2 linked regions of the Pelodiscus sinensis genome follow. The protein of the gene in region 2 interacts with the protein of the main gene of each other region in a pairwise test. Links are inferred from orthologs where the notes say so. Each region holds a gene or a part of one and is shown on either strand. Other genes may lie near its edges. The genes, in order: CTNNBL1 and CDCA7L.

What was found.
Region 1: the proteins of CDCA7L (region 2) and CTNNBL1 interact in binary tests that used the Homo sapiens proteins (3 or more experiments, as listed by UniProt). The link is inferred for Pelodiscus sinensis from reciprocal best matches to the Homo sapiens genes CDCA7L and CTNNBL1.

The regions. Positions count from the first base shown.
Region 1 is NC_134728.1:433,424-448,533, reverse strand, and holds the start of CTNNBL1 (beta-catenin-like protein 1), read right to left. Parts: upstream 8,047-15,110; 5' UTR 7,921-8,046; coding exon 7,891-7,920; intron 1-7,890. UniProt on the Homo sapiens protein: Component of the PRP19-CDC5L complex that forms an integral part of the spliceosome and is required for activating pre-mRNA splicing.
Region 2 is NC_134712.1:200,001,602-200,016,911, reverse strand, and holds the start of CDCA7L (cell division cycle-associated 7-like protein), read right to left. Parts: upstream 5,862-15,310; 5' UTR 5,716-5,861; coding exon 5,698-5,715; intron 5,420-5,697; exon of another isoform or gene 5,281-5,419; intron 1-5,280. UniProt on the Homo sapiens protein: Plays a role in transcriptional regulation as a repressor that inhibits monoamine oxidase A (MAOA) activity and gene expression by binding to the promoter.

The sequences.
Region 1 (15,110 bases), on a different chromosome or scaffold from region 2:
TCCACCAATACAGTCACCCAGTGCTTCAAACATCATCCATGTTCCTATGGTAGGAAGGCCTCCCGCCGGGAAATAGGCATGTGAGGGGGTGAGTCACAGTGAGATCAGGGAGAGCCTTGGGGCTACCATCCAGTGTGCTGATTAGAGATGTGAATGGTTAACCAGTAAGCACCACCTTACCAGTTAACTGGCAGGAGCTGGAACAGTCCCCCACCCACTGCGGGCAGGCCTTTGGGGCCCACTGTGGGAGGGGGTACTCCAATCCGTCTTCAACAGCCCCCATCTCTGCTTTTTATATCCCTACTGATGATCATCCCACTAAGCCTGCCTACCTGCCCTCTGGGGCACCCCACCATCCTGTCCTGCTGGGCCAGAAGCTCTGGTCTCCGAGTGGAGATACCAGCCCCCCAGCAGAGCAATACAGACGCGGACAACAGCTCAGCTGTGGGAAGCCTCAGATAGAGGGAGCAGATAGCACCTGGGAATACAACCCTCAAAAGGGAGCAAGCCCCCCAATACATCCAAGCTCATACCGTTCACTCTCTTGGTCACTGAAAGAGATATGCACAGCTGTGGCTCCCCCCAAGTAACAAGTATTTACGCTGTGCTTGAGAATAAGCAAGAGTGGGTTTATTAAGTAGAAGTCGAATTTAAGTGAATTCAAATGAAAACAGACAGATCAAGGTAAGTTCCTAAGCCAAAAGGAACAAAATTCGCTAGTTAAGCCTAATACAATAAGAAACGTATTATATGCACATTCTTACAGTAGTTCTCATCCTTTTCATAAGCTAGGCAGCCTCCTAGCTTGGGCTCGATTCTCCCCCCACCCCCCTCGTCCAGTCTGAGTCGTTTCCAGCAGGCACATACAGTGGTAAGTGGGGACGGGGACGGGAAAGAGAGGGAAATGTCTCCTGACTTCTGGAAATTGCCCCTATTGTTTGGTTTCCCACCTTTTATCCCCTTTGCCCAGGGCAGGAATTCTTTGTATTCAGTTCAAATTCCTCTCTTCTTGTGTGAAAAAGCACAAGACCAAAAATGGTCCAGCATCAGGTGGCCTGGCCACATGCCCTGGCAGAACCAATCTGGATCCAGGCTTACAGGAAAAACTAGACTATTGACAAGTTGTTGGTTTACTTACTGAGCCACTATGTTCGAGTATCACTAATGGTCTCATTAGCACATCTAGATTTATAAACAGACTCTCACTTCTCTGCCTCTTGCTCCTCACCCACAACTATTTCCAATTTGGAGACAATTTCTATATTCAAGTCAGCAGCACAGGTATGGGTGCCCGCATGGCCCCACAATATTCCAACATCTTTATGGCTGACCTTGAACAAGGTTTCCTTGACATTACAATACAATTACATGACAGCCACGTTTCTACCACTTTATACCAGAACCCTACCCACCGTTATGCTTCCTTACATGCCTCTAGCTTCCAGCCAAGAAACATTTCCCAACCAATTCTTTACAGCCAGGCCCTAAGATACAACTGGATTTGCTCCAATCCCACAGACAAAGACAAACACTTAAGGATCTATATCAAGCGTTCTTAAAACTAAAATACCCACCCGAAGAAGCGATAAAACAGATTGACAGAGCCAGACGAGTACCCAGATAACAGCTTCTTCAAGAGAAGCCCAACGAAGAAAACAACAGGATACCACTGGTATCAGCAGGATACCTACAGCCCCCAACTGAAACCCCTCCAGCGCATTATCAACACCCTACATCTAACCTGGAAAATGACCCCTCACTCTCACAGGCCTTGGGTGACAGGCCAGTCCTCGCCTGCAGACACACAACTCCCTAATCTCAAACAAATTCTTTCCAGCAAGCACGCAGCACACCCCCATCAAACCCACCCAGGAACTGGGGATGTTAAATTTAGATTAATCGGCTAATCGAATAGTCGATGCAATATGCATTGACAATTGAATTAGTCGATAAGGGCACCTTCGCCTTTGAGGTGTAGCAACAGCCTCAGGGTTGGTGCTACACTTCAAAGGTGAAAGCGCTGCGGGGAGCATGGGGCCAGCAGGGGACTCAAGCCGATTCTCCCGCTGACCCAGGGCTCCATGCGGCACTGCCACTTTGAAACACTGCAGGAAGCATGGTGGGGGAAAAGAGGGAGGAGAGAGGAGGAGGTGGCGCTGCCACTTTGAAACACCACATGCAGCCTGGGGCCAGCTGGGGACTCCCCAGCTGGCCCCAGGCTGCACCAGCATTTCAAAGCAGCAGACCCTGGGCTCCACACAACACTGCCACTTTGAAATGCTGCGTGCAGACCATGGCATTTCAAAGCGGCAGTACCATGTGGAGCCCAGGGTTTGGCCCCGGGCTCTACACAGAGCTGCCATTCTCCTCCCCCCCCCCCCTTTGCTGCCTCTTTCTGATAGATGCAGTAAGGTGGGGGGGGGGGGGGAGCGTCTAGTCGACTGGTGTGTCGACTATCCAATAAGCATTTGCTTATCAGATACTCAACTAGTCCTTCACATCCCTACCAGGATCCCATCTCTGCAATCAACTCTGTCCACACATCTATTCAAGCAACACCATGACAGGACCTAGCTACATCAGCCATCACATCAGAGGCTCATATAACTGCACATCCACCAATGTGATCTGTGCCAGCAAGTGCCAGCAACACCCCCCTGCCATGGATATTGGCTAAAACAGACAGTCTCTACGAGAGAGGATTAATGGACACAAATCAGATATTCGAAATGGTAACACACAGAACCCTGTTGGGAAACTGTTTAACTTGCCAGGGCCCCCACTAATGGAGCTAAAGGTGACAATATTATTGCAAGGCAATTTCAAAACCCAGCTGGAGAGAGAAGCTGCAGGACTTGGTTTCATTTACAAGTTTGACACCTGCAATAGCGTTTTAAACAACTACCTTAACTGGATGGCCTGCTACATTCAACACCCTAGTGACATAAAAAGGTACTCTATCAGCCTCATTTACCATGGACACTAATTGACAATATATTTTTTCCTTCTCTTTTCCTCCCCATCCCCTCTCTTTTTCTGCTATTTATTTGTCCCCAGGAGCCCTTAACTCCCTTCACCTGAAGAAGTGGGGTTTGCCCACGAAAGCTCATGATACTATATATATTTGTTAGTCTCTAAGGTGCTACAGGTCCACTTATTTTTTTAAGACTTTCACTTCAATTTTTCTAACTTCACATACAAGAATGATACATGCACAGGAAAAGAACACATGCATTCATAGACTAACTTTAAAAATATGTCACGTGATGCACTTACCTAAAGCGCCTTCCAGTTTGGCTTATTTATAACCCTATTTTCATAAAGCATGGGGGGCCCCAGTGACAAGGAGTCCAAAAGATTCACAGGAATCCGAAATTATACCATATATTTCTAAGTAAATGTGAGCAAGCCCTCCCCTCCGGAGTAGAACAGAATCAAAACAGGGACTGATCTTTTATTCCTCAATTTTTTCTTGTGTGAAAATGAAACGTCCTTTCCAGAAGGGATATTGAAACAAGTGAACTGAATGAAATACAGTGCAACGCTGTCTTTCATAACATCTTACATAGGTACAAATTGCACCACAAAATACTTAGAAATAAATAACCGAGGCTGAGAAAATGGAGAAAGTAGAACCCGGCGAGTGATGAATATTTTCACTTGGGATTGGAAATTGGAAAGTTGGTAAAGTGGAGAGATATAAGCACAGCAGAGGGAAAGATCTCACATCAGCAGCAGCAAGATTAGTACTGACAGCACAAATGGTTGGATGAAGAGGAAGAGAATGGGAAACTGGCAAGATCAGAAACACAGGAGCAAAGCCACGAAGAGATTTGGAAAGGACCGGAAGGATGTGTTGAACTTGAGCTGAAAAAAACCAGGACCCACCTGGAGCGGTTGTTAGATTCCCAGGCTAAGCCACAAAAGCCTATTTAACTCATAATGTAGCTGAAATACTGTATATGCAATGAAAAATAGTAAAAAGTTGATTTCACCTTGACTGCTGGTGCTTGAGGAAAGGCAGGTTTAATAAGAGGAGAACGAGGAGGTCGGTGGGGATTCTGAAGGGGACAAGTAACATGCCAGCAGGCCAGAGGACTCTGGAGGCCTGGGGTCAGATGTAGCAGTCTCTGATAAGGCTAACATGATTGTAAGACATGTTATACATGAAATACACATGACTGAGAAGGAAGGAAACTGGATTGAAAAGGATCTGAATAAAATACAGCCCAAGGGATCTGTGCAATATAATGGCTGACAGTACTGAAAACAGATGTGAAATCAGCACAGGCTCTATTCCGGACAAAGATTTAAGGTAGCTGTGGACAGCACCTTTAAACTACAGTTAAGAAAGCAAGAACACTTGGAGCTATCAGCAGAGTACAAATCAGCAGGGTGTTGCAGTAGTCATCCAGCTCGCTGGGAAAGCTTGAGGCGCCATATTTCCAGCATTAGAAGAGACACACAAGAAAGCAGCCTGGGATGCTAGGGGCCAAAGACACAACGTTAGGCCATTTTTATTCATATTTGTTGGAAGAGAGATTAGACACCTCCAACACACCCACTTCTCAAGGTGAGGGCTACGAGAAGGTAGATGAATTATATTCAAGAGGCTCATACAATAGATGAGGAACCAAAGGACACAAAAAGACCTGATGCCAAGGGCAATGAAGGAAACATTATTAAGAATAGCCAGTAGGATTATCAGATAAAGTCTTTTAAAAACAAGTGTCTCCTGTGTTACAAGCTGCACCCTGGCATATTAGAAATGAGGATTTTAGAACTCTAATGTTCTTTTCACCATTAATGTTGACACTATTTTTTGCATTTCATTCAGCTAAAAAAACAAAAACAAACTTGTCAGTTTCACTTTTCTGCTACAGTTGAGGGGCAAACACTGCAGAAAAAACAGTTTTAATAGCAATTTCAAAAAAGAATGAAGAAATGTCCATTGATCTTGTAAGTTTTGTGCCTAAAGTGACCAAATAGCATCCCATTAGTGTGTGGAGTACACCAAAAGCACAGATACTGCCCTATGGGGACATACAAATAAAACATTTAGACAATTAAAAGAAAGGCACGCATAAAGCATGCCAATGACATGCACGTGGAAAGATCTACATATAACCTAGGGTCTTTTTTCTTCCCAAGACATTACAAACTCTATACAGGGGAGGCGAGAGGGGAAATCAATTTATGGATCTAAGAACTTCACTAGTTTGACATTACATTGGGAATGTCTCATAAGCAGGGCTCGCCAGCCGCGCGGTTTCACACAGTTCTGCACTCTGTGCATGCACAGATTGCTCTTCACCAGCTCTTCCGGGTTGTAATTGTAATCTACTCGCCACGGGCGAGTAGATTGCATTATTTGTCGAGCCCTGCTCATAAGGACTGACTACTTGGATTGGTCTGTCCTGGAACCAATCCTATTCAACTTATTTATAAATGATCTAGAGCAAGGGGTAAACAGTGAGCAGGCAAAATTTGCAGATACCAAACTGCTCAAGACAGTTAAGACCAAAGCAGACTGTGAAGAACTTCAAAAAGATCTCACCAAACTAAGTGATTGGGCAACAAAATGGCAAATGAAACTGAATGTTGATGAATGTAAAGTAATGCACATTGGACAAATAATCCCACAATACATTCAGTAAAACAGAGGTGGCCAACTTGTGGCTTCAGAGCCATATGCAGTTCTTCAGAGGTTAATATGCAGCTCTTTACATAGGTACCAAATCCAGGGCTGGAGCTACAGGTGCCAACTTGCCACTGGGCCGGAAGGTGTTCACTGTTCTATCCCCAGCTCTGCCCTAGGCGCTGTCCCCCTCCACTTTTTCCCCCTAGGATCCTGCCACTTCCTATCGTCTCCACTAAGCCTGTCACACCCTTGCTTCCCCCCTCCAGTGTCTCCCACTGAGGAAAAGGAGGGACAGTTCGGTGGGGCTGCCAGTGGGCGGGATGTGCTGAGAGTGGTGGTGGGAAGATGATCAGGGCTGGTGACCTATAAATGTTGCTCTTTAGCAATGTGCATTGGTAAATTCTAGCTCCTTCTCAGGTTTAGGTTGGCCACCCTTGCAGTAAGATGTGGACTAATTTAGCTACAACTACTCAGGAGGGATCTTGGAGTCATTGTGGACAGTTCTCTGAAAACATCCACACAATCTGCAGCAGCGGTAAAAAACAAACAAACAGAACGTTAGGAATCATTAAAAAGGGGACAGAGAATAAGAGAGAATATCTTATTGCCTTTATATAAAACCATGGTACGTCCACATCTTGAATACTGTGTACAGATGTGGTCACCCCATCTCAAAGAAGATATACGGGCATTGGAAAAAGTTCAGAAAAAGGCAACAAAAATTATTAGGAGTTTGGAACAGGTCCCACATGAAGAGAGATTAAAAAAACTTGAACTTTTCAGCTTAGAAAAGAGGAAACTAAGAGAGGATATGACAGAGGTCTATAAAATCATGACTGGTGTGGAAAAAGCGAATAAGGAAAAGTTATTGACTTGTTCCCATAATATAAGAACTAAGGGCCACCCAATGAAATTAACATGCAGCAAGTTGAAAACAAACAAAAAGAAGTTTTTCTTTACTCAGTGCACAGTCAACCTGTGGAACTCCTTGCCAGAGGATGTGGTGAAAGCTAGGACTTTAATGGGTTTAAAAAAAAGAGCTAGATCCATTCATGGGGGTCAGGTCCATCAATGACTATGGTGGGAATGGTGTCCCTAGCCTCTGTCTGTCTGGAAATGGGTAACAGGAGAGGGATCACCTGAGGATTCCCTGTTGTGTTCCCTCCCTCTGGGGCACCTGATTTTGGGCACTGTTGGAAGACAGGACACTGGGCTGGATGGACCTTTGGTCTGACCCAGTCTGGCCGTTCTGATGTACTTGCCTTTCCTGGATGGCCAAGGGGATGTTAAAATTGTTATCATTTAACCGGATAAGTCTTAACTAGTTAACTTTTAACTTAAGACCTGCCACTTGGTCCACCACAGCTGTGAGATCTCACTGTCTCCCCCCTCCATGACTAAGCGCTCCTCAGGCCCCGCATGGCTGGCTGCCGGAGCTCACTTAGCTGGTAAGCCTCATGGTTAACCAGTAAGCACACCAGTAAACATTTGACATGCCCAAATAAGTCGCCATTGAAGACCGATTGATGGCAAAGGTTTGTACGTTGCTTTCTGTTGAAGATGAAGTCTCAGGGGAAGCCGCCTTAGTCTGTAACTTCAAAACCCAGGAGTAGTCGTGCAGCACTAATAACCGCACACAGGACCACGGGCTTCCACGGGCAAAAGCCACTTCTGCAGCGCGAGCGAGCGGAGGACAAGAGGGCAGAAAGCAAATGAACGTTCCCTGCCAGAGGGGCCCTTCCGCCCCGCGGGGCGCACGGCGCAGCTCTCGCAGGGCAGGGCGCGTGCTCGGGGGGGGGCCAAGCTCAGCTGGGCCCATGGGCGGTGGGTAGGACACTGCCCCCCCCAAACCGCCAGCCTGGCCCCGCCCACACCCTGCCTGCTGTAGGGGTACCGGGGGCGGGGCCTTGCTGCTCCCCCCCGCTCCCCGCGATGGGGGCGTGGCCTGGGCCGAAGGGGCGGGGCTACCTCCCCCCCCCCATGGCTAGGCTGCCCCCGCCTGGGCCTGGCGCCCCGAGGGGGGGGGGGCTAAAGGCACCGGCCGGCGGCTGCTGAGGAAGTGAAGATGAATCTTTAATTACAGGGGGTCACGTGGGGCGCCCCGAGCCCCCCCCCCCGTGCACCCCTCCCCCCAAGTCCCCCCCCGCGGGGCCCAGGCCGCTCTGGTTTCCCAGGCGACGAGGGAAGCCCGGGAGTGAGGAGGCCGCAGCCCCCCTCCCCCCACGGCAGGCGCAGCCCCTCCCCCTCACCTGGTAGCTGAGCAGCTCGCCCACGTCCATGGCCCCCGCGCCTCAGCAGCCGCCAAGCCCGAGCGAGAGCGACCCCACGCCGCCGTAAAGCGAGCCGGCGCCGCGCTGCCGTAAAGCGCGACAGGGGGCGCGCCACACTGCCGCGAAGCCTGCTGGAACGCCAGTCACGTGGCCGCACAGGCGCACGCGGCCCGAGGCTCGCAGGGGCGTGGCCTGGGGGCGGGGCCTGGCGGGGCAGGCGCGTGTTCCCAGCCTCCTGCTGCAGCCTGGCCTGTGGGCTGATGGGCAGGCCCTGCCCCCAGTGGATGGGGCTGGCCCTGGGCGCTGGCTGAGGCTGACCCCCTGGCCTGTGCCCATCCTAGGGGCCAGTGGGCGCTGGGCTGGGTCCGCGTGGGGACTGCGGTGCTGCAGCCCCGTGGCACTCACCGCCCGGTGCCCAGCTCCCCGGCCAGGCACGTGGCAGCCAGCCAAGGGAGCCAAGAGCTGCCAAAGCCGGCCAGGGCGCAATGCAGGGCCAAGGTGCCAGGGCGAGGGCTGTGTTCACAGAGGCCCTTAGCACCTGTCTGCCATGGCTCCGGGCACTGGGCACCGGACTGACAGGCTGGAGGGAGGCGCCTCTCGGGCTTCTCAGCTGCAAACCCTCCTGCCGCCAGCCCGGCCCTGTGCAGGGAGCAGGCAAACAGGGACTCTCCAAGGAAGCTGCAAGCTCTTGTCCAATTCGGCACAGGGACTTACGTTTTCACTGCAGTTAGGGGGCAGCCCTGGCCAGCCAGCTGATTTGTATGTAGACCTCCAGGCCTGGACTCCAGCCTGAACTCTGGGACCTCCCACCTCACAGGATCCTGGCTAGAGACCCAGCCTCAACACGAGCTCGCACCTGTGCACTGCAATTAAACAGCCTTAGTCAGCGGGCACAGGATTTTCATTGCCTTATTTAAAATGGCGTTAGGGTGCATCTCCACTGCACCGTAGGTGGAAATAAGAGACCCAATCGGCGCTACGCACACTGTGGCTCTTATTTCGATGCTCTTTCGAAATTGCTTGTTTTGAAATGTGGCGCTGTCTACACAGCAGGTATTTCGAAACAACCCGCTATTCGGAAACGTCCCTTCCTCCCCGTGGAATGAGGGTTGCAGGGACGTCGGGCTAGTGAGCCCGTGATATTTCCAAATAGCTGGTGCGCTCAAAAGACACGGAACGGCTATTTCAGGTTACCGCCGGCATCCGGAAATAGCGCTGCCATGCAGACGTAGCCTTGCCGGCCGGGGGTGTGCCCTAAGCACCAGCCCATGTGGCTGTCTCAGGATTGCCTGTGGAAGCTAGTCCGTTTGGGGCAACGAATTAAAACCGTGGGGGGAGGAGATGAGTGAGGGATGGGTGCTGCTCCGCCCAGCAATGGGGCATTCACAGCGGAGACTCTGGCTCAAGTCCCTGCTCCAATGAATGTTTACAGGGACAATCTAGTGAGCCCTGCCCCATTCTGGCCAATAGGCCGGTAGGTTTGGGCCCCCCCGTCCCCGACTCAGTCACAGGAAGAATTGGATTCTCCCCCCAAGAGAGTGCCCCGACTGGCTTGCCCCCCAGCTGGTTTTTTCACAGGGTTAGTGGACTCTGAGCCCAACCTATGAGATCAGGCAAGGTGGGCAGAGGAAGGCCTGCGGTGAGAATCCAGCCAGCTGGGTTGAGCCTAAGCTAGGGGGCCCAGCAGCTTGGGGGTGAGCTCAGGACTTGGGTGACTTTGCAGATGCACCGCAGGGGAGGGAGGTGGCAGCCACGTGGGGGTGTCGAGTGTTGGATTTAGACACCTAATCGGGTGGGTTCCCATGCGGATTTCACAGAAGTGCTGCATGTCCCCCCATCAGCTGGATTCAGGGGTGTTGTGCCCACGACCATCTGACCTCGCAGACTTGCCTGGGGTACCCAGCAAGCCCCCAGCACAGCTCCCATTCTAGTGGGGAAAGCAGATCAACAGCAAATTACCCAGATTCCTGAGGCCAGGACAAATGGTTTTGCTTTTCAGGTGACTATGAAGCATTCGCTGACGTTCTTTAAAAGGAACAACGAAGCCAGAGAGCCAGATTGTCCCAAATCTTATCAAATAGAGACTGTAGCTGTTCTTTAAAAATCAACTTGGAGGTAAAACTCTTTTGTAACATAACTATAGCAACTATTACCGTTATCTCAGCAGGCGTCTACTTTAAGGACAGTCATGAAATTAAAAATGTATCTAACATTTTCCAAGAAAGAGGCCCCCTAGCATCCCCTGTTGTTTCAGTGCGGTCTAGAGAGAGCAGTCATGAGAAAATTAACTCAACAAATCTGCACTCGGAAGAAGAGACAAGTAGAAGATCATTATTGGATCCTCTGCCTTTCTTTTATGGAGCATTCAGATAATTCTCCAGCTGCGAAGGCAAAACACAGTCATTCTATGAGTATTGACATATACTTGGGAGCATGATATAGTTATTGGAAAGCTTGACAAGTGATGCTAATAAATAAGACATAAGGAGTTGTAAAATAAATAAAACACATGAAGAGGGGAGTGCCGACCCTCCGCAGACAGACAGAAGCCTCATAAACCTGGCGTACGTGGGAACCTCAGACAACATTCCATTTCATGATGACATGATGTTTTGTTGCTCTAACCTCCCCCATCTCCGCGTTTGTTTCTGATGAATGAGACGATCTGCCTAAAATACCGTTTTCCCTTTCGCTGTCTGTCACACCGCTCTGGGCACATCCTTCCCCCTGCGACCTCGTGGAGGGTCACACGCAGGGGTCGCCTGAGAGAGGGGCTGTCAGACTGAACCGGGGACGTATTGGCCCATATCCTGCAACAGCTCACACACGCGGAAGTCACTGGGAAGTAGGGAAGTCCAGCACATGGGTAAATCCTGGCAGACTCAGAGCTGTACTACACCCATCCTGCAGGTGGGAAAAGAGAGGCCCAGAGAGGTTGTTACTCATTCACAGTGGCCAATGGCATCCTTGCTCGAGGTGTACCTGTAGATAGCGCTTGTCAGCTGCCAGGTCCTTTACAGACACTATTTCCTCCATGCAGAACCCGGAGCGACAGGCGGGTCAGCAGAATCTTCTGACTGTACAGATGGGGAAACGGAGGGAGAAAAGGGTGGCCACCGCAGGCCTCAGTCTCAGAGGCGGGATTAGGACCCTTTGTCTCTGAGATGCGGCTTGTCTCCCGTCAGCTTCTCAAACTAACCAGGGTGCCTCCCTTGGCTGTTAGTGTCTTGCCCACGGTGCCCTGCTACTCAGGGCTCTGCAGTGCGCTGGGAGGCAGGGAAAGGCCAAGGGTGAAACCAGGAAGCCCAGGACAATGCAAGGGGCAGCGAGGCAGCTGTCGTCAGCCACTTCCTGGACGTGCTCCTAGCTCACTCTCTGCCTGTCTCCTAAGGCTTCCCGGCCAGGCTCACTGCTGCCTGCAGAGCTGGGTCGCTCCAGGTGCTGCAGGGCTGGTGTATCCAATAAAGGGAGCCGGGGCAGGGGACAAAATTACGTTAGAAACAAACCTGAGCAGGGCTGGAGGAGAGCAACACGTCTGGGTCCCGACCTGGAGCCCGGTAGCTGGCACGAGACAGTGGGCTTCAGGGAAGGAGTGTGGCTTCATAGGCTCATGACTGAGCAATTCCAAGGGGGTGCAGCCATGACCCCGTCCATGCCGGGTACCGATCCCCTGAAGGCAGCGGGGAGACACCCGATACATTGGCCCCGCGCCTGTAACGGGGCTCAGCTGCCGGAGGAGAGGCAGCGTGTCTGCTGTTAGACTCCAGGGCTGGTGCCAGGAAACCGGGGTTCCGGTCTTTCCTCTCACTGGTGCTCTGTGTGGCCTTGGGCCTGTGACCTAACCCCTCGGAGCCTCTGAGGGCTGTGCCTGTAATGGAGGCTGTGCTACGTACCTGCGCTAGGGCAGCGCGTGGAAAGCCAAGTGCCATTCAACCCAGGCCTCTGTCCCCCCGGAAATGCAGCAGGGATGCCCAGGGTAGGGCCTGCAGCTGCCTCTGAAGTAGAAGGGACAAGCAAAAGCTGGCTTTGAAACTGGCTCCCGGGACGTGTCGGCCATACTCCTCCCGCCCGGCACCGGACCCCGGCACTTGGGCCTGCTCCTGCCAGCGGCTCCCCACAGCTTTGTGACCGGGGGAGGGGCGGGGGGGCAGCCTTGGTCTGTCAGCCGCTGAGCCAGGCGGACAGGAAGCACAGTCAGACGCAAAGCAGCTCCTGCCATTCAGACCCCCGGTCGGCCCTGGGGCAGGCGTGAGAGGGGCCGGCTTAGTGCGCTGGCAGAGGGGCTAGAACAGCAGCAGCAACTAGGGAGGTAAAATCCTGGTTAATCTCTGTGACGGCGCGTCGGGGTCCCTGCCTCCTGCACCCCCGAAGTGGCAGGGACAGACTCCCCAGCCAGTAGAACAGAGGGGGTTTATTGCTTCTCCAGGATACAGCCCAGCACAGATGGAATCTGGTTCCAGGGCCGGCCTAGGATGCCTCAGCCCTTGAGATGGGGAGACTGGGCCCCTAAACCCCAGCCCCTTGCTTAGGCTGCTTCCTCCATGATCCCAGACAGAAATTCCCCACTCTCTTCCAGCCCTGCCCCCAGCCAGGTGCTGGTCTCCGCCCTCCCCCCTTTGTCTCTCCCTGGGAGGCTGAGCCTGAGTGAATCCACATTTGGGAGAGTCAGTGAGAATCTCCCATCCCAGCGCAGGGGCCCCGGGTCACAGAGCAGACACCCCCCCCCCCCGCGCCCCAATCTGTAACCAGTTAAACATTGTGTTTAACCGCCCGCCCCCCACCGCAGCTGAGCTGGAGCAGCCCCCGCACCCCTGCCTGCAGCGCAGCTGGCCTGGCCCCCGCGGACAGGGGCTGCTCTGGCAGGCAGGAGCGACCCATGCCCACGGCAGGCCCTGCCAGCGATGGGGGGAGGGCTGCTCCAGCCTCAGTTCACATCCCCCGGTTAACCGTTCCGTCCCCTGCGAGAACCAGGCACGTGGCGCGCTCAGAGATCAGCACCGGCGAGCGGTGCCGGACGCGGCCAAGCAGACCCACCCTGCGGCGGGTTGGCTGGGGTCCTCGCTTCCGCCCCGGCACGTTTACAGGCAGCCCGGCCCAGACGGCGCCTCACGGGGTAACGCGGAGTCCGGGGAGTCTTGCTGGGACTGGCCCGACCTGTTTCGATGTCACTGACCCCCAAGCCCGCTCCCCTCGGAGCCAGCCCTTGGGGAGGCCTCTCCCCGGCAGCCCCCGCACCTGCTCCTTGTGCAGGGCCACTGGCTCAGAGGGGGCCAAGGGAGAGGAGACTCTGCCTCTTGCCTTCTGTAGGGGGGCCCTAAACGAAGCACCGCACAGGAGCAAGCCGGGAAGAATTGAACCGGGAGAGCAGGGCGCGCCTCCCTGGCACCCACCGCCAGCCTCTCCCTGGCCTTGTTCCTTCTCCTTCGCAGTGCACTATGCGTGTGCGCGGCCGCAGTCAGAGTGACGGGAGCCTCGTGAGCGCCGGCTCAGGACACGGCAGCCCCCGTGCGCAGCCACGGTCGGTGACCACAGCGCCAGGGCACCTTACAGCTCCCCAGGACTCCCAGTGGAAGGTGCAGGTGGCGACGTGCCCCAGAATCTCCCGCCCCCGGCCCCCGGCTCGTCCCAGGAACTCATTTTTCACCTGCCGCGTCGTTAGCGGGCGCAGGAAGCCACGCTGTGCCGTGCACCGAGCCCCGCGCCGGGTCGTCCATCACCCGGCGACAGGAGCTGGCTCCCCGCAGATAAAGTTATGACAAGCGTCTCCAGCCCAGGCTCTCAGCCGGCGCCTCCACGTTTCCATCATCTCAGACATTACAGCAATCAGCTGAGCAGGGCCCTGGCTACACATCAGGGGTGTCAGAGCTGCAGCTCTGGGAGGCAGAAGTGAAGGAGCAGGGCTTCACCGTGGTACCCGCTGGGCTTGGCTTCTGCTGCTCACGGCCCTTGCACAGCTGGCTCCAGGCTCCCCTGCCTGACTCCCGCACCAGACCGTCCGAGGGCAGAATGAGACCCGGCAGGGGCCGAGAGCCGGGGTGCCTCATTGCACTGCCCCGTTCTAGGGACAGTTGTTCCTGGAAGTGCTACCTTGGCCGTTGAGACCTCCTAGGGCTGGCACTTGAGGACAGCAGCAGTGTCTCTGCGTAAGGCCCTGGGAGGGGAGGCAGGAGCAAGGTTCCCTCTGATATTTCCCATCCCTGTGCAGAATAAATGTTGTTATGTGCACCAAGGCATGTGTGGAAGTGCACCACAAATAGAGACACCCGCTGCCAGCCCTGGGCGCTCTGCTAATCAGCTGGGCGGCGTTTGAGTTTCTCCTGGGTTGGCGGCTGCTGTGCTCAGCTTCCAGAGAACACTGGTCAGGGGACCGGATGGCTGCTCCCAGCTCTGCCACCGACTTGCTGTGTGACCTTGGGAAAGTCACTTCCCCTCACAGGGCCTGTCTCCCCTCCAACCTCTGGTCCGCTTACTGTCTGCTCCTGAGGCCAAGGCCTGGGGGTCGCTACATGGTCCTGCAGAGCCTGGCACAGTGCGCTCCCCGCGTCTCAGCCGCAGCATGAACAAATCCAGGCCTGAGAACCCAGAGGAAGGCATCACAACACCCCAGGAGCGAGCGGGTGGCTATTAAGCCGCCAGTCGGAGGTTTTCCATGTAAATTGCTCCACCAGGACAGAGACAGAGTCATTCGCAGCGAGGAGGCTCGACAGAGGTTCGCGATTCCATTTTCTGTTTAAATTATTTAGCATTTCCTTTCCCCGCGCTGAGGTCTCGCCTCCGCTGCGGCTGCACACAGCACCTCTCGGCCGCGCGTGTGGGTAGCAGATACAGCAGTGGCAGGAAATGCCGCCTAGGGGTTAGACATGGGCGGAGGGGGTCGAGGATTGGGCTTGGGTTCTGCCCCAGCCCCTCTGTGAGTCCCTACTGACCTGATATTCCCACCCCTGACGCCTGCAAGGCTCAGCGCCTGCTTCTCTGCAGACAGAGGGGAAATTAGCATCAAGGGACAGCAGAGCCCAGCGAGGGAGCAGGGCACAGGAACCCCCCCCCCCAGCAGCTGTCAATGGGGAGCTCTCCAAGCCATCCCCTTGCCCTGGGAGGGATGTGCCCGGGGAAGGGGATCCAGCCATGTCGGAGCCAGATTGCGCAGATTACAGGAGGAGGCAGCTGGATCCATTATTAATGAGCATGAGCTGGAGAGG
Region 2 (15,310 bases):
GTACTGAACAAAAATATAGCAAGAAACATTCCCTGCCATGAACTATTTACATTCCAAGTCTTGCTCCTGAATAAGAGTGTAGAATCAAGATCTAATTTAAAGACATACAGTTATAGCAAGTGGTCATAAAAGAAATGAAGGTGGAAAAGGGAAGAAGAAGAATGACAATGATAGGAATCACACGATTACACATGTTCATATTAGCTATGTGAACAAGAAGATTTTTTTAATTGACTCAAACTGAGATACCTGATCATCTACCAACCTCTTACCTGTTCACAGTTTCTCATCAAATGCTTGGAACAAGATGGCTATAGTTAAAGGGACTTTATGAAATAGTTTGAGGATGGAATATTCCATGCACATGCAGTGCCATAGAGGAATACATAAAACTGCTTTGGGAGAAGTAGAGGAAAAATGTGATGGGGAAAAAGCATGTACACCTGAAAGATCACACAAGATTAAGAGTTATGGATTACCATCCAAGATGAAAGTACTTTATCACCATAGCTGTATATTGTGAACATTTTAGTTATTCATGAAAAGCTATGATCTTTATTACATTAGCCAAACTATTATTGAATAGGACTCTTCCATTAATTTTAGCTTTCTGAATGCCCCAAATAATGGATTCTGGGTTTCTAAATGTTTTTAAATTAGTAACTAAATGAAGTTACTATTATAAATATTTGACTTCTCATGAAGTCTTAGGACAAGAAACTTATTTACAATGTTAAGTGCTATGACACTTCCCTTAACCCAGTGGTTTTCAAATCGTGGTTCCTGGACCACTAGTGGTCCAGGATAGTCTTGCAAGTGGGCCGCAGGCTCTGGAATCACGCCCAATTGCAGCAGCGGAGGGTGGTGCCTGGGAACAGCGGGAGACACAGAGCCAGGTAAGCGCCACCCACCTCCCTCATGCCCTAATACCACCCCTCTATCCCCCTCAACGCATCACCCTCCCACTAGGGATGTTAAATATCGGTTAATTGAATAGTCGATTAACCTAATGAATTCTTATCGGTTACTCGACAATTCTATAGTCCCTGGGGGCAGGGCTGGCAGCCAGTGCGCTCCAGCCCCACTCCCAAGGAGCACCCTGCAACCCCACGTTGCTGCTGTCTTTGTATCAGAGGCAGCAGAGCAGGATGCCAGGCAGGAGCTGGTCTGCAAGGGAAGCCAGTTTAAACACAAGCTAGTTTTAAAAGTGGCTCCTCTCATGGAATGGATGCCTGATACAGAGACAGCAGCATAAGGTGGCAGGGAGAGATCTGAGCTCCCAGACCCATCACGAGTTGGAGCTGAGCCAGACTGCTTGGCTACTAATACAATTTAAATGCAGAGCCGGAATAGGGGTAGGTCTCAGACCCGGTGCAAGCTGGGACTAAGCTGGACTGCTGGCCTGCCTGTTAAAAGAATTACTGGGGGAGGGAGGCAGAAATGCGTGTAGTCTGTAGCATTAACCTATAAGCTTTTGCTTATCAGTTAATTGATTAATCAACTATATTATTGCATCCTTACCTCCCACCCTCAGCCCACTCCTGTTCCCTACTTCCTGGCCAAAGCCTGCACCTCCACGCCCTCGCACACCCATTTTGTCACCATGGGTGGTTGGCTTGTGGTCCTCAGAAAGATCTGTGTTGAGCGGGGTGCACCACAAGTCAAAAAGTTTGAGAATTATTGCTTTAACCCCAGACCTGCAGTAAGCATTTTCCACCATCACGAAGCCATAACTTTCCCCATTGTTTATCATTGCAACCAACCAGCCTCTATTACCAGGAACTAAAACCCTAATCCTGCAATTTAGAATGTGGGCAGACTGCTACACCTACATGGAGCCCTCCAAAAGCCAATGGGGCTCAGCAGTCTATCCACACAATATAAATCGCAGGAATAAGACTGAACAATTGCTTTTTATAGGGAGTGTGAGCCTGCAATCCATAAAAGGTACTTTCATAAAAGATTAACATTATGTATATGAGAACCATAGATAGTATAACCATGCTTCAACTTCACTCCCGTTTCTCCTATCCGCTCTTCCCCACAATACCTACTACTGATACACACACAGAAGCTGATATTTCTGATTTAATATTGCCCGAAACAAGAGAAGCATCTTCTCATTCAAGGCCTCTAATCTACTTCTGGCTCCCAGTTTCCCAGAAAGCAGATTTGCACAGTATCACTGCACCACTGAGGTATATCTAGACTACATTGTTTTTTCAAAAAAACTGCCCTTTTTTAGAAAAAACTTCACCTGCGTCCACAATGCAATTGCATTCTTTCTAAATTAAATCGAAAGAATGCAGGGGTTTTTTTTTCCGATATTGGTAAGCCTCAAATTACAAGGAAAAATGCCTTTTTCGAAAGAGCCCTTTTGAAAAAAGGCATGCGTGGACGCAGAACAGGGACATTTGTCTAAAGAAGAGGCAGTCGAAAAAAAAGCATAGGTGCCCTAGTGGCCATTCTGTGAATAGCAATCAGGGCTTTCTTTCGAGAGAGCATCCATGCAATCTGGATTCTCTCTTCTGAAAAAGCAAATCGCTTTTTCGATCTGGTTTTGAGGTGTGGACACTCTCTTTTGAAAGAAGCTTCTTTCGAAAGAATCTTGCAGTCTAGGCCAGTGTTTCTTAAACTGTGTTCTGGGGAACACCAGTGTGCCGCAAGGCAGTCGGAGGTATGCTACGGAGAACAGAGTTCAAAATGGCCACCCTTAAAGGAGCAGGCAACTTTTTTTGCTTAAATTACTGCCCCCCCCCCCCGACCTTTTTTGGGGGGGGGGAGAGCTCAACAAAAAATCCTTGGTGTTCTTCATAAAAAAATTATTATTTGGTGTTCCTCTGTCTTAAAAAGTTTAAGAAACACTGGTCTAGATGTACCCTGAGTAAACTACCAGTCTAGAAAAAAAAATAGGCCCAAATTTTGCTACTTGGCTCTCTGGAGTCATGGAGTTCAGTGGCGCATCAGACAGTCACAAAGGCCCACTTCCCGGAGTCACTTGCAGGCTTGGGGCCATAGATGGCATTATCCAAAGACAGAATTCCAGTTAATATAAGTCAAAGATGATTTTTAAAATGCCTCTGTGATACCCGAAATGTACATTTGGCCAAGGAAAATAAATTTCTAAAACAAGGGTCAGTTTTTATAACAAAACTCCAATTTTAAGAAGTCTTTGTAAGTATTGAAAGCCATCTGTAAAACTTAGGTTTAAATGCACACTCTACAGATATGTTTAAAATTAGGCCTTTGGGTTACCAAACAATATACATGAATAAAGGTCTTGCAACTCAGAATATCTGGCTAGTGACTGGCTAAAATGGGGTCACACAACTATCTCGCCAAACTAGTTTGTGTCTGAAACCTTTGAACCTCACTGTGTTGTTAAGGGCTTAACATAATCAATAGATTACATTATGATTCTGAGAGACAAGGAAGCCTGAAACACATCTACACTCCTGCAGGTGATGAATCCACCTGACTCAGCAAGAAACAATTTAACCCACCACTGTTAGAGCTCCAGAGAAATAACAGGGAGGAGTGCAGGACTGCAGTGCCTCTTAACCCCAAAACAACCCCAAACTGCCACAAGAAATATTAAAAAGATTGCTGTTCTCTTTCCCCTCCACTGCCCTATTTATATAACGGGGGGGGGGGGGAAGGATTTAATTTCTTGTCCCTTGAATAAAAATGTAACTGGTCGTAATAACGCTGTAGCATTAGGCATTAATATTTTGCAGTTCCAATAAAAGGCAATCAGACAAAGGATCTGAAATCACTTTACAAGTACCAATAGCCTTGCAACACTCCAGTAATATTAGTATCAGAAGGGTAGCCATGTTAGTCTGAATCTGCAAAAACAACTAGAAGTCCTGTGGCACCTTACAGACTAACAGATTTATTGGAGCATAAGCTTTTGTGGGCAAAGACCCACGACTTGGCAAAGTGGTTCTTTGCCCACAAAACCTTACGCTCCAATAAATCTGTTAGTCTATAAAGTGCCACAGGACTTCCAGTAATATTGTTAGTCTCACTTTCAGATGGAGAGAAGTTGAGGATCATGTTAAATTGAGAGGGCAGAGCCAGGAACAGACCTCAGGTTCTTAATATATTTGTATGGAAGAGTGCACACGGATTTAACATCTTTTTGCTTTTGAAATGTTTAGTATGGTTTTTAGTCTGTATTCAACTGCCTCTCATGTAAAGCTTCTTTTCTTAAGCTTAACAGATTCATTAATGAAATTACGATACATGTGGTGACTTTCCAAGAAGGTGCCAATGTATTAAACCTAATCCTGCAAATATTTTCAAAAAGTAAGTTTGTGTGTGTGTGTGTCCCTTTAACTACTAATTGTACATGAAGTTCAAAACTACTCATAAGTGTAAAACTAAACCTCAAAAGCACCAATCTGCAAACATTTACACACAGACTTAATGTTACTCATATATGCATGTTTGTAGCACTGGGAACTAAACAACATCTTTAACAAAAATAAGAAGAGGTCAGAAGCAAAAGAACTATCACTAGAAAATATATGAGAATCAGGCCATCCAGAGACTTTTTAAAAAGCCCCTTTACAAAACAATGAAAATAAATTCACCAATAGGGTAGACCAAATATTTTAAGATTTGGTTACAAAAATTACAAATTCTTAAGATATGCTTTTTAAAACACGGTTCTGTATTCCAATGTACAGAAGATAACAGGAAAACGAAAAAAACTTAATTACAAAGAAACAGTAACACTAACTAGTTTATTTTTCCTAATGGTGTTTTACAAACAACACATTAATTAAAGTTTAGTGTTTTGCTTTATAATATAAGAACACATCATCACAAGTGAAGAACCTTTTAATTTTTAAAATACAGCAGCGTCCACTTAAATAAAGCTTCACAAATCTTGGGTTTTGAATTTTAACACTGATTATCATGCAAGCAGGAGGAAGGAGGGGAAAAAACGGAAAGAGGGGCGTGTAGTTGCCAGCCCCATTTTTTTTTTTTTTTTGGCCACTGCTGCCAGTTAGTCTATAGAGTCTGCTGCCGCCGCCAACTACACGCAGTAACATCCCCAAGTTTTGTTCCAAATCTAAGATGTGTAAGAAGTAAAAGTCCCATTAAGTAAGTGGAAAATCCAGAAAGAGGGAAGTCAGATCTGGCACGTCAAATGAGAAGAGAGCTGTTGGAGGAAAAGCAGCCCCACAAACACACTGCAAATACCTCCCCAGTAGCACCAAGCAATCGGTTCATTATTGGAAACTTCTGAGGAGCAGGGGAATCAACTACCTTTTAAGAGGCCAACCTGTAGAGCCGGGCGGACTTGCAAGCAATACAGGGAGTCCAGGCCAACGCAGCATGACCCCCCTCCTCCTGCCCCAGCCCATCACCCGCCCCATTAATCAGCACGCTCAGGGCTCCCGCCTCTGCAATGCGCGGGGGGTCGCTCGGGGAGGAGGAGAGGGCCGAGGCGGCGGCGGCGGGGTCTGTCCCCGCGCTGGCGCCGAGGGAGCGCCCTTTGGAGGACACGCTCCACGTGGCGGAGAGGAACGCAGGCGGGCTCCGGCTGAGCGGGGCAAGAGGCGCGCTGCAAAGCTCTGCCGCCGCCGCTGCCCGGGCACATGCGCCTCCGCGCAGGCGGGCTGCGCTTGGCGCCCCGCTGCGGCCGGGGGGGGGGGGCTCTAGGCGCGCCCGGGGCCGCCTCACCTTGCTCGCCGCTGCCATCGTGCTGCCGCCGCCCGAGCCCGGGACCGAGCGCGCCGCCGACGCTGGGCCGCAGGGAGCGCGGCTTCCCCCGGACGTGCGGGGGGCAGGGCGGGCGCGGGGCCCAGCTGCAGCCGCCGCCTGCTCCGCCCGGGGCGAGGCGCGGGCTGCGCTGGGCCCGCCCCCGCTAGCCGCGCTGCGAGGCGCGCTCGTCAGCCCCGTCCTGGCCGGCCGGCTCGGGCCCAGCCCCTAGGGCCGCGGGCTGAGGCCACCGCGCTGCCCCCTGAGCGCGCTACGGCCGATTCCCGCCCTGCGCACCAGAGTTAGGGCCACGGAAGGATTTGCCCATCAACCCGGCCGCCCCTCCAGGAGAGGGGGACTATCTCCTCTGGGGGGCTCCCTGCTCCCACCTAGGAAGCAGCGTTCCAGGCGAGCAGCTCCTCTTCACGGCGTTGCAACATGCCACTGGAGTGTAGACGTACCCCCTGTGCTGGGCTGGGGCAGACTGGGCTTACTGCACTGCGGGAGGCTTCTGCGAGGCAGAGAGAGGGCTTTGCTCCCTTGGCCTGCTCCTTAGGCTGTTAGATGTGACAACTAGGCTCCCGTCTTAGCTCTGCCACTGCTGTTCTTGGGTAGGGCTGGGCAATAAGTGGCCTGCAGGCCAAATGCAAATCGCCAGGGTTAGCCCCTGGACAGGAGCGGCCCTAGACAAGCTGCCAGCAACTGGCACCCTAGGCGAAACACGTGATCGGCACCCCTGCCTCCAAAGCCCTCAACGGCCATTTTACTTGGTGCCCTAGGTGACCGCCTAGGTCACCTGTTTTGGCCACTGCTCCTGCAGGTCAATTAGATGTTGTATTTACCGGCACATCTGCTGGTACGTCCACTTGCAGCTGTCATTGCCCACAGAGCACTATTCCCGGCCAATGGGAGCTGTGAGAAGTGTCCCAGAAAGAGGCCATACCAGCGGACGCAGGGGCAAATAAAGCATCTGGTAGCCCTCCAGGGGCTAACCCTGGTGAACCATGTTCAGCCCATGGGCTACTTATGGCTCATTCCTGGCTCAGTTAGGCCAGGTCTACACTAGGGGCATTATGCCTAGCTATAATAGCAATGCATAGATAAGGTAGCTGCAGTTTGTACCAGGAAAAAGGCACTAATACAGCTGATTTAAGTCCCTCATCTTTCCCCACCCATGCCCTGTGTGAAATAAGGTACACTGGGAAAAGTGCCTGAGTTTGCTGGTACAATAAAAGCTCTGTTTTCTGATGTGTTGAGAATGGGATGGGGGGTGGTTCCTGTTAATCAAAAATGTTGGTTAACTGAGAGTTATACTTTACCAGTGGAATACCAGTTTCCAAAGAATTAAAATACAGTAAAATGAATAACTTATAAAATAAATACAAGTACTCACCAATCCAAGAGCAGTACTGCATTGCAGGGTGATTGATTTCATGAAGCACTCAAGTTTATGCAGGTAAAGTTTCTATACAGTAGTGCTGTGTTACCTTATAGACTAACAGATTTATTGGAGCATAAGCTTTCATGGGCAAAGACCCACTTCATCAGATGCAGTATGATACTACATATCATTATGGGCACCACATGATGTACACCCAGATCACTAAAAATACATTTAACACGAACCATATTGAACATAATTTAATCTTTGATGGTTCAGAAGGCACTTCAGTATCTTGTAGTGCATTGATTATCACGATAGATACAGAAGGTATAGGACACCAATGGGCAACCTAAGCTAGTGAGTAAGCCAAATCAGTGGCCCTGCTTCATCTGAATGGGCTACGATATTTTGCTAATTGTGCTTGTGTATCTACAATTTACAGTGTATACTAATTAAACTGTTCCAGCACTTGAACTTTATGCAGAGGGAGAATATGGCTCTCACGGTCAATGTGTGCTATCAGCAAGCACCTCATTTTACATGCCTTTGTTTTAGGTACGTCACTTTAGTAATACCACTAGGAAAAAAAATACATAGAGACTAGCAAAACCTGACAACCCTGCACGTGGGCAGTGGTAAACAAAATGTCTCACGGGTCACAGATTGAACCCCGATAGGTCACAGGTTGCCCACCATTGGTGTAAGAAATTGGGCTGAAGCTGTAATGACCTATGACACATTGGAAGTTGCTTTTCTCTAGATACATAAAAAAGGTATTTCCTGTTGGGCAACAGAATGACATCATCAGGCTCTCTCAGTGAAGCAAAAGCGGACAGAGAATGGGGTAGATGAGTGTAACAAGCAGAGGGCACAGCCCCTTAGTTTTGAATAAATCTCTGATAACAGCTTGTTTACTTATCTTGTGCCTCTATTGCATAAAAGTAGAGTGCAGAACCATGCAATTGCATAATATGGTAGGCAATATACTAGTCCCAGTTACTAAACTGAAGATATGTATTGTGAGATATCAGAAAAGCCAGTTAACATAGTACTTTATAACTGTCTACATGAGGGTCCTGTAGTGGCATAGCTGTGTGTACTGCAAATCAGTCAAACACTCCTCAAACCAACATAGCTATCCTCACAAAAGTTTGTAGTGTAGACCTGGTCTTAATCTTTCTGTAAAATTGGGATAATAGGCAACAGCTTTTTCCTACTTCACCTGAGTGTTGTAAAGATCAGTCCATTAAAAACTGTGCAGGCACTGAGATGATATGGTAGTTTGTGCCATGTTCCTTAGACATAAATTTCCTCTTTCCAGCCTGCTGTTCCTTATGCAGGTGTTCACTCTCTGTTCCTGAAGTGGTTGTATTCAAGTCCCACAGCTATTTATTAACCCCTTATTACCTGTGCTGATCTTACGTCCTTCCAGTCTTCAGGCTGAAATGTTCATAATTCATGATGCATCAGTCCCCAAAATCACGATTGACATTAAAATCATTTTGTAATTGATCAGTGTTTTACTTTCTAGTTATAGCCTTTAGGTTTCTTTTTTTCAAACTTTTATCTGGAATAAGAAGAGCTAGGTTTGTTTTTTGTTTTTAAATAAAATCCAATATTTTTGACTGCTGCAGCTGAGGCTTTAAGAAAAACACAAAATATTATGAGACTTCTGATGAAATCACAAGGTTTAGTAACATTGTAGCCTCCCATCTTTTCTAGTAAAGAAATGTAAGCTCCACGTAGTTATGTCAGTAGAAATTGTAGGACTTAAAGACAAAATGTCTTAAAGATCTAGTCCCCTGATCTCTTCTCCAGCCTCAGCTGTTCTAATTTTTGTCTCTAGCAATGGTCCTATGGGACCAATTTGCTGGCTCACCACAGCACAGCATTCTACCACACACCTGTAAGGGAGTACAAATTCAGTGTGCTGGCTTTAGTTTTGCAAGAAAGACTCTTGGTATGCCTTTAAAGCTGCAAAAGGGAATACTATGAGCCAAGATGTGGTCCTAGATTTTTTTAGAAATTAAATACATGTTTATTTTAGTCTATAATCAACACCTTCCCTTTCTCCTGCCTTCCATAACAAAAAACAAAATAAATGTACCTATACTGTATAAATACTGTATAGTACTGTATAAAGATATGCTGGTAGTTTAAGCCCTGAACCTACAAGTATGAAAGTATGTGATTAAAATATATGTTTTATAAATCCTAATACGAAGATTCAAGAAAAAAAATGGTGTTTATAAGCATTCCTATGCTGTTTGCAATCTTAACTGGAATACTGGGCTAATACTAGTGAAATCAAAGGTGAAACTGAATAGAAGCATAAGCTTTGTTGCAACATCCCATCAGGGGAAACACAGTGAAAAACAAATACAGTTTCAAGTGTTAAAAACTAAGTCAGATTGAAGGAAAGCAAAAAAAAAAAAAAAAGAGAAAGAGAAATTTAAATCTGCTTTTAAAATAATTTCTCCTCATGGTTTCCTATTTTAATCTTTCTTTCTGAATTCCCATTAGCAGAAAAAAAATTAAAATAATCAAAAACTGTCTCTTACAGCTTTTCTACAATAAGCTCCAGTTAGCTGCCTTTAAAAACAAACGAGAGATACTATTTTAAAAATATTTGTGTGAAGGGCTATATATATGCAGACATGACAGACATTGTATACCCTGCTCACTTTCACACTGTGTGCTAATCAGATAAAGAGCTCTCAGAGATCTATGAGTGTATTAAGCAAACAGATGTGTGTGTGTATATCTATTATACTAGAAGTTTTACCTGGCATTCCTTAATTAATTTTTGTTTTTCTTCAATTAAATCATTGTTCTGCGGTGGGGCTGGAGATGAGGGGTTCTGTAAGCACCCTTCCCGGGGTAGAGATGACTACCCCAGCCCTCTCACTCCACAACAGCTTGGGGCTAGGTGAGAAGCGCATCTCCATGGGCGCTGCAGCTCCAGTGAGCACAGTTTGGGGAGAGGTGCATGTCTCCCGGCTGGGAAAGGTCCAGGTTCATCTGCCTCTGTGCTCCCTGCAGAGTGACAAATGCAGCAAACTGCACTTTTCCCTCACTCCCTGATGAAGGGGAACAGCTAGCTGTGTTCCCATACAAATGGAGGGAAGGGAGCTTCAACCCCCCCCCCTCCCCGGGCCGTCCTAAAGGTCACCTGGGGGTGGGAGGCTTGGGGCTAGGGCAGTCCTGGATGAGGGTCGACAGTCAGCTTCTTTTACTTGCTTGGTGATTTGGTCTCCTTTTTCTGTATGGTTTTATGCGTTCCCTATACGCATGGGGAGGAGGGATGCTTCAGCCCCTCTCCCACCATACAACCAAACCCCACACCATGAAACACATTTCAAATGGTATCACGTAATTTACCATTTGATTTTGCTCATTGTATCAAACACTAAAACTACAAGTTTTCTCTGCAAAAAATATGCTAATAAGGGACTCAGTTGCATGAGTTGCGATCTCATTTGCATATTTTCTGCCGATCTGGTTTTTCACTTGGGTTTTTGCGTAAAAACAAACAGTGTGGACGTTTCCTTCTTGTGCAAAAACCCCTTTTCCCGCAAGATCTTGTGGGAAAAGGGTTTTTTTGCGCAAAAAAGAAACGTCTCTTTTCCCGCAAGACCTCCCTTTTCCCGCAAGATCTTGCGGGGAAAAAGGGGTTTTTGCACAAGAAGGAAATGTCCACACTGTTTGTTTTTGCGCAAAAACCCTAGCAAAAAACCAGATCGGCAGAAAATAAGCAAATGAGATCACAAGTCATGCAAATTTATGTCCCTGAGCATATTTTTGCAGTGAAAACTCGTAGTGTAGATATAGCCTTATTGATTCCTAACATGGGCTATCCAGTTGAGCAGCAGAGTATTTCTATGCCTATGTACTAGCCATATGGGGACTGCTTATTAGAACTGAGTCTGAGGAAAGGGGTTACCAGTAAACAAAGAACCATTAAGCCAAAGCATGCTATTTAAATAATGGTTTGCTCTGCAGCATCCACTATAGAGAACCCCGTGGTTGTCATTCAGGGCACTGAAGTAAGGAGCTTTGAAGAGAGGGGGAGAAGAAGATTCAACCAAAGACAAAGAGTGAGAATTATGTATTATGTTAGGAAATGTGGGCATTTTAAAATATAAAAGTGTCTTGTACTTCAACATTCCTGAAAGATCTGCCTTTTATATATCCTGTTGCTAACTCTGGGTTTCTTCTCCTCTTGCTTTTCCCCAGCAGTCTGCATATAAAGCACTCCATTCAGTTAAAAAGCTGTCAAGGAGCTAGCCTGGATTGTGAACAGCAGATTTCAAATTATTGTGTTAGAATGTCCTGTGTTAAATTAGATTGAATTAAATTGCATTCTATTACAATACAAATGTGTGGCTTTTATGCTGTTACAGATACATTATGAACTGTCTAATCCTGTGCTATTTTATGCTATTTGCTTCTTGCTTTCATTCCTTTTTTTTTCCTGAATTTTCTACTTTTGTACCTCTCACAATCTTTCTCCTTCCCAATATTTTTTTAAATCCTTTGTCGATTCTACTGCTCTTTACAGCCACACTCTGGAATCTGTTGCTTTTTTAGTTTTTCTTTATTTTACTGGAATTAATTTCATTATAATCTTTCCAACTGTATCTCAAGTTATGTCTACACTGCAGACTTCTTTCTGAAGAAGCTTTTCCAGAAGAAATCTTCTGAAAAACTTCCAAAAGACAGCGTCAATACTGCCAAAGCACATAAAAAAAACCATCTGCTTTTTCAACAGATAATGTCCACACTGAATGGATGCTATCTCTCATATAAGCTGTGATTACTATGGGTGGAGTGGCTACCAGGGCACCTTTGCTTTTTCCTCTTTCCTCTTCTATCGAAAGAACTCCTTCCACAAATGCCTTTTTCTGAAAGAGCTCTTTCAGAGAAGGCGCTCTTCCTTGTAGAAAGAGGTTTACTAATGTCAGAAAAAACCCTTTTTTCTTTTGACTTTTTTTGAAAGAACGCTATTGCAGTGTGGACATAAGTGAGGGTTTTTTGGAAAAATGGCCGGTTAAAAAAAAAACCCTCTGTAGTGTAGACATACTCTCAAATAGCTCTCACTTTACCAATGTGGATTTCCTATGCATTACTGAATTCCTGCCATTTTCTTTACCACTTTTCATATTACTTCAAAGTCTGCTTTTTTGAGTTCCTGTCACCTTTGTGTGATTGCCTTTTCTCATCAGCCTCTTAAACCTGATATTATAACTAAATCCTAGGTGCTCTTCAACCTCAACTTTATATATTAGTCCAGAATTACTTTACAGCTATTGAGTCCAGACTAGCCTCTGACCTTGCTCATCATATGAGAGCATTTTTTATAGGCTCTGGGTCTATCCCTTGGACATTTAAACTATATAATGAAACTTATAAGTTCTGAAGCTCAGAACGAACACTATAATTGGACTACAATACCTCTGAACTATCGCTTTCTGAACAGAAAACAAGCATACATGAAGAAATTATTAGCTGCTATGAAGATATATCAACTATATCAAATCTATCAATTTATACGAGCCTCATCACTGTAATGCCATATTGATATACTGTATAATTAAAGAATAAGACAACTACCTCTTCAGAATGAGCTTGTAAATTGGAATGGTTACTGTCAGTTTTTAATTGAATAATTACAATGAAAATTTAGATTACAATATTGGACATTAATGCTTTCAGTCCCACAAACAGATGAATATTAAACTCAATCCCCACTCCTGAGCTCCATTTCTAATGCTTCCTCCTCCATCAAATACTAATTTGGGGGCCATTGTAGTCATGACTTTAGGAATTTTTGCTCCCATCTTCTGCCACCTCATTTCTCCAAGACCTGTCAAGCATTTTAAGTAGTATGCACTTTCCCACACTCCTCAATGAATGCGGACATACCTAACTTAAAAGGATTACTTTCTGCTGAGAGGAATTGTAATCCTCTTTTCCTGCTCTGTAAATCCTTTGGTAAGTGAAAAAAAAGGCCAAGATCTGTTCTGCTGTGCAGGGCAAATCATCATTTTATAAGACATAGCTGAAACATCAAAACTAAGATTTACTGGTGGTCACACTTATCTGGGAACTGTGTCTGCTATATTAATTCATTGACCTCTCACATCACTTTTTTTCTTTTTATGCTTTTGATATTTTCTGTTATAGTTTCTAATTATATGTGTACATACACAACTTATTTTAATTGTATTCAGAAGAAAAACAAGAAATCTAGCTATGGTATTTATAAGGCGCTTATGATACTGAATTCCTTACACATTAATGCAGCTTTTAGTATTATAATTATAAAGTCTATTATAATACACTAAAGCATATTTATCGTATTTTAAAACTAGCAATTTTCCAAACAAGCCAAAACCAACTGGGAAATTCTGCAGAATTTTCAGAAGTTGATTTTTAAGGGAGTTTTCTGGTATTTATGACTCTGACTCCCCTGACTCTGAGGACTTGGCTTCAGTTATGAGTTAATATGAGGTAACAAGGCTGAGTGGTCCCCTTAACTACTGGCCTCTAGGATGTAGGCTAGATCTAGCATACTTCCTAACCTACATCCAGCTCACACTTGGCACAGGTGGAGAGATAGGGAAGCAAGATGGTGCCCCAGTGGCGGGGCTACCTCTGTGACTAATTTATAGTAGCCTAAAGCTGCTCCAAGTTGCACTGGCTGGAGTGGTTGCCAAGCCAAGGATCAGCTGATTCCCTGGGCATTCTAGCTCCATCATCTCCTGATACATCCTCCCCCTTACTGTAAAGATGGTTACTTTAACTTTATGTGATCTGAAGTTTCCCCTGCTCCAGAGCGTTCTTGGATTCTGGCTTGCGGCAGCTTTAAGTGTCCTTTGTGTAGGTCCAGCAGTGCAAAGGGTAGTTCGTGCCTAATCACTAAAGTCAGTAGCAAGCTGAACTGGAAATAGGCTCCTGATTCAATAGGTATGCCATAATAAGCACTTGAGGGGGCACCAACCATCTGCAGCAGCACAGTCCACCTCGGCACTCAACCCTAATCCTGGCCTGTTGTAGTGGGGAGGCCTTTCTGGGAGGAGAGAGGGACAGGGTACAAACTCTCCCCTCAGTCCTTCTGTAGCAGTGGTTCCTGTACCACAGTGATGGGGCAGGACCCGGCTGTCTGTCATGATGAAATAACGGGGCCAAATTTGAATGGGTAGCTATATGATCCTGTGCACCTGGTTGCAACATCTAAAGTGGGGATTTCAGTCCCAGCTCTGCAGGTCAAAAGCTGCTGCTTCAAGGAGTGGGTTCACTCTGCAACCCTCCTCCAAGGGTCTGTTCTCCCCTCCACTGGGTAAAGTGTCTGTTTGCCTGTTTTTGCATTCTTGGTTTCATGATTTCTGAGAGTGAAATTCAACCCTTGAACCCACATTAAAGTTGCCACTGATGCCAAGGCACACATTGACATGGTGCGGGGTCAGTGAAGGCCAAAAACCTGGCTTTCTGTCTTCCGATTTTCTGCTGCCATCAACACGTTTCCCAGAGTAACATGTACAGTTCTTGATTATTTATTATTTAAAAAGAATGTAAGTGAGAGAAGAATTTGGCCCATCATACTGTAACAAGAACCTTGCAAATTACTGCTACACTTAGTCTGACGTCATAGGCCCAATTTTGCAGGTCTATCTATATGAGAAAAAGTTTCCGGTTGGCATTAGACCTACTTTACATCAGAAGGTGAAGCAGAACCAGAAGCTGCATTATGTGAGGGAATGCACTATTTCATCCAGTCACAAATATCTGTAATAAGAGCAGCAGGGATATAAAACATTCCTGGCAATATACGTTCTTTTCATTTTTCTTCCAAGGTTCCCTCACAACGTTTTAGCAAGGCTTACAGCAGGCCTGGGCAAAATTCAACCCATGGGCCAAATCTGGCCCACCAAACCACCAGATCCGGCTCGCGGATGCAGTGGGGAGCCAAGCGGCTGCGGGGCCGTTTCTCTTTTAAAACTGTGAGCCAGCAAGGGGGGTGGAGGGGAAGGCTTCAGACGCTGCTCCCACCCCCAGCACAATCCCATTGGCCATATTCTGGCCAGAAACTGACCAATGGGAGCTGATTGTTTGAATAACAGGCAGCACATGAAGCACCACACCCTCCTCGCCTCTGGCTCATAGCTATTCACACACACACACACACACACACACAGAGCCCTGCAGCCT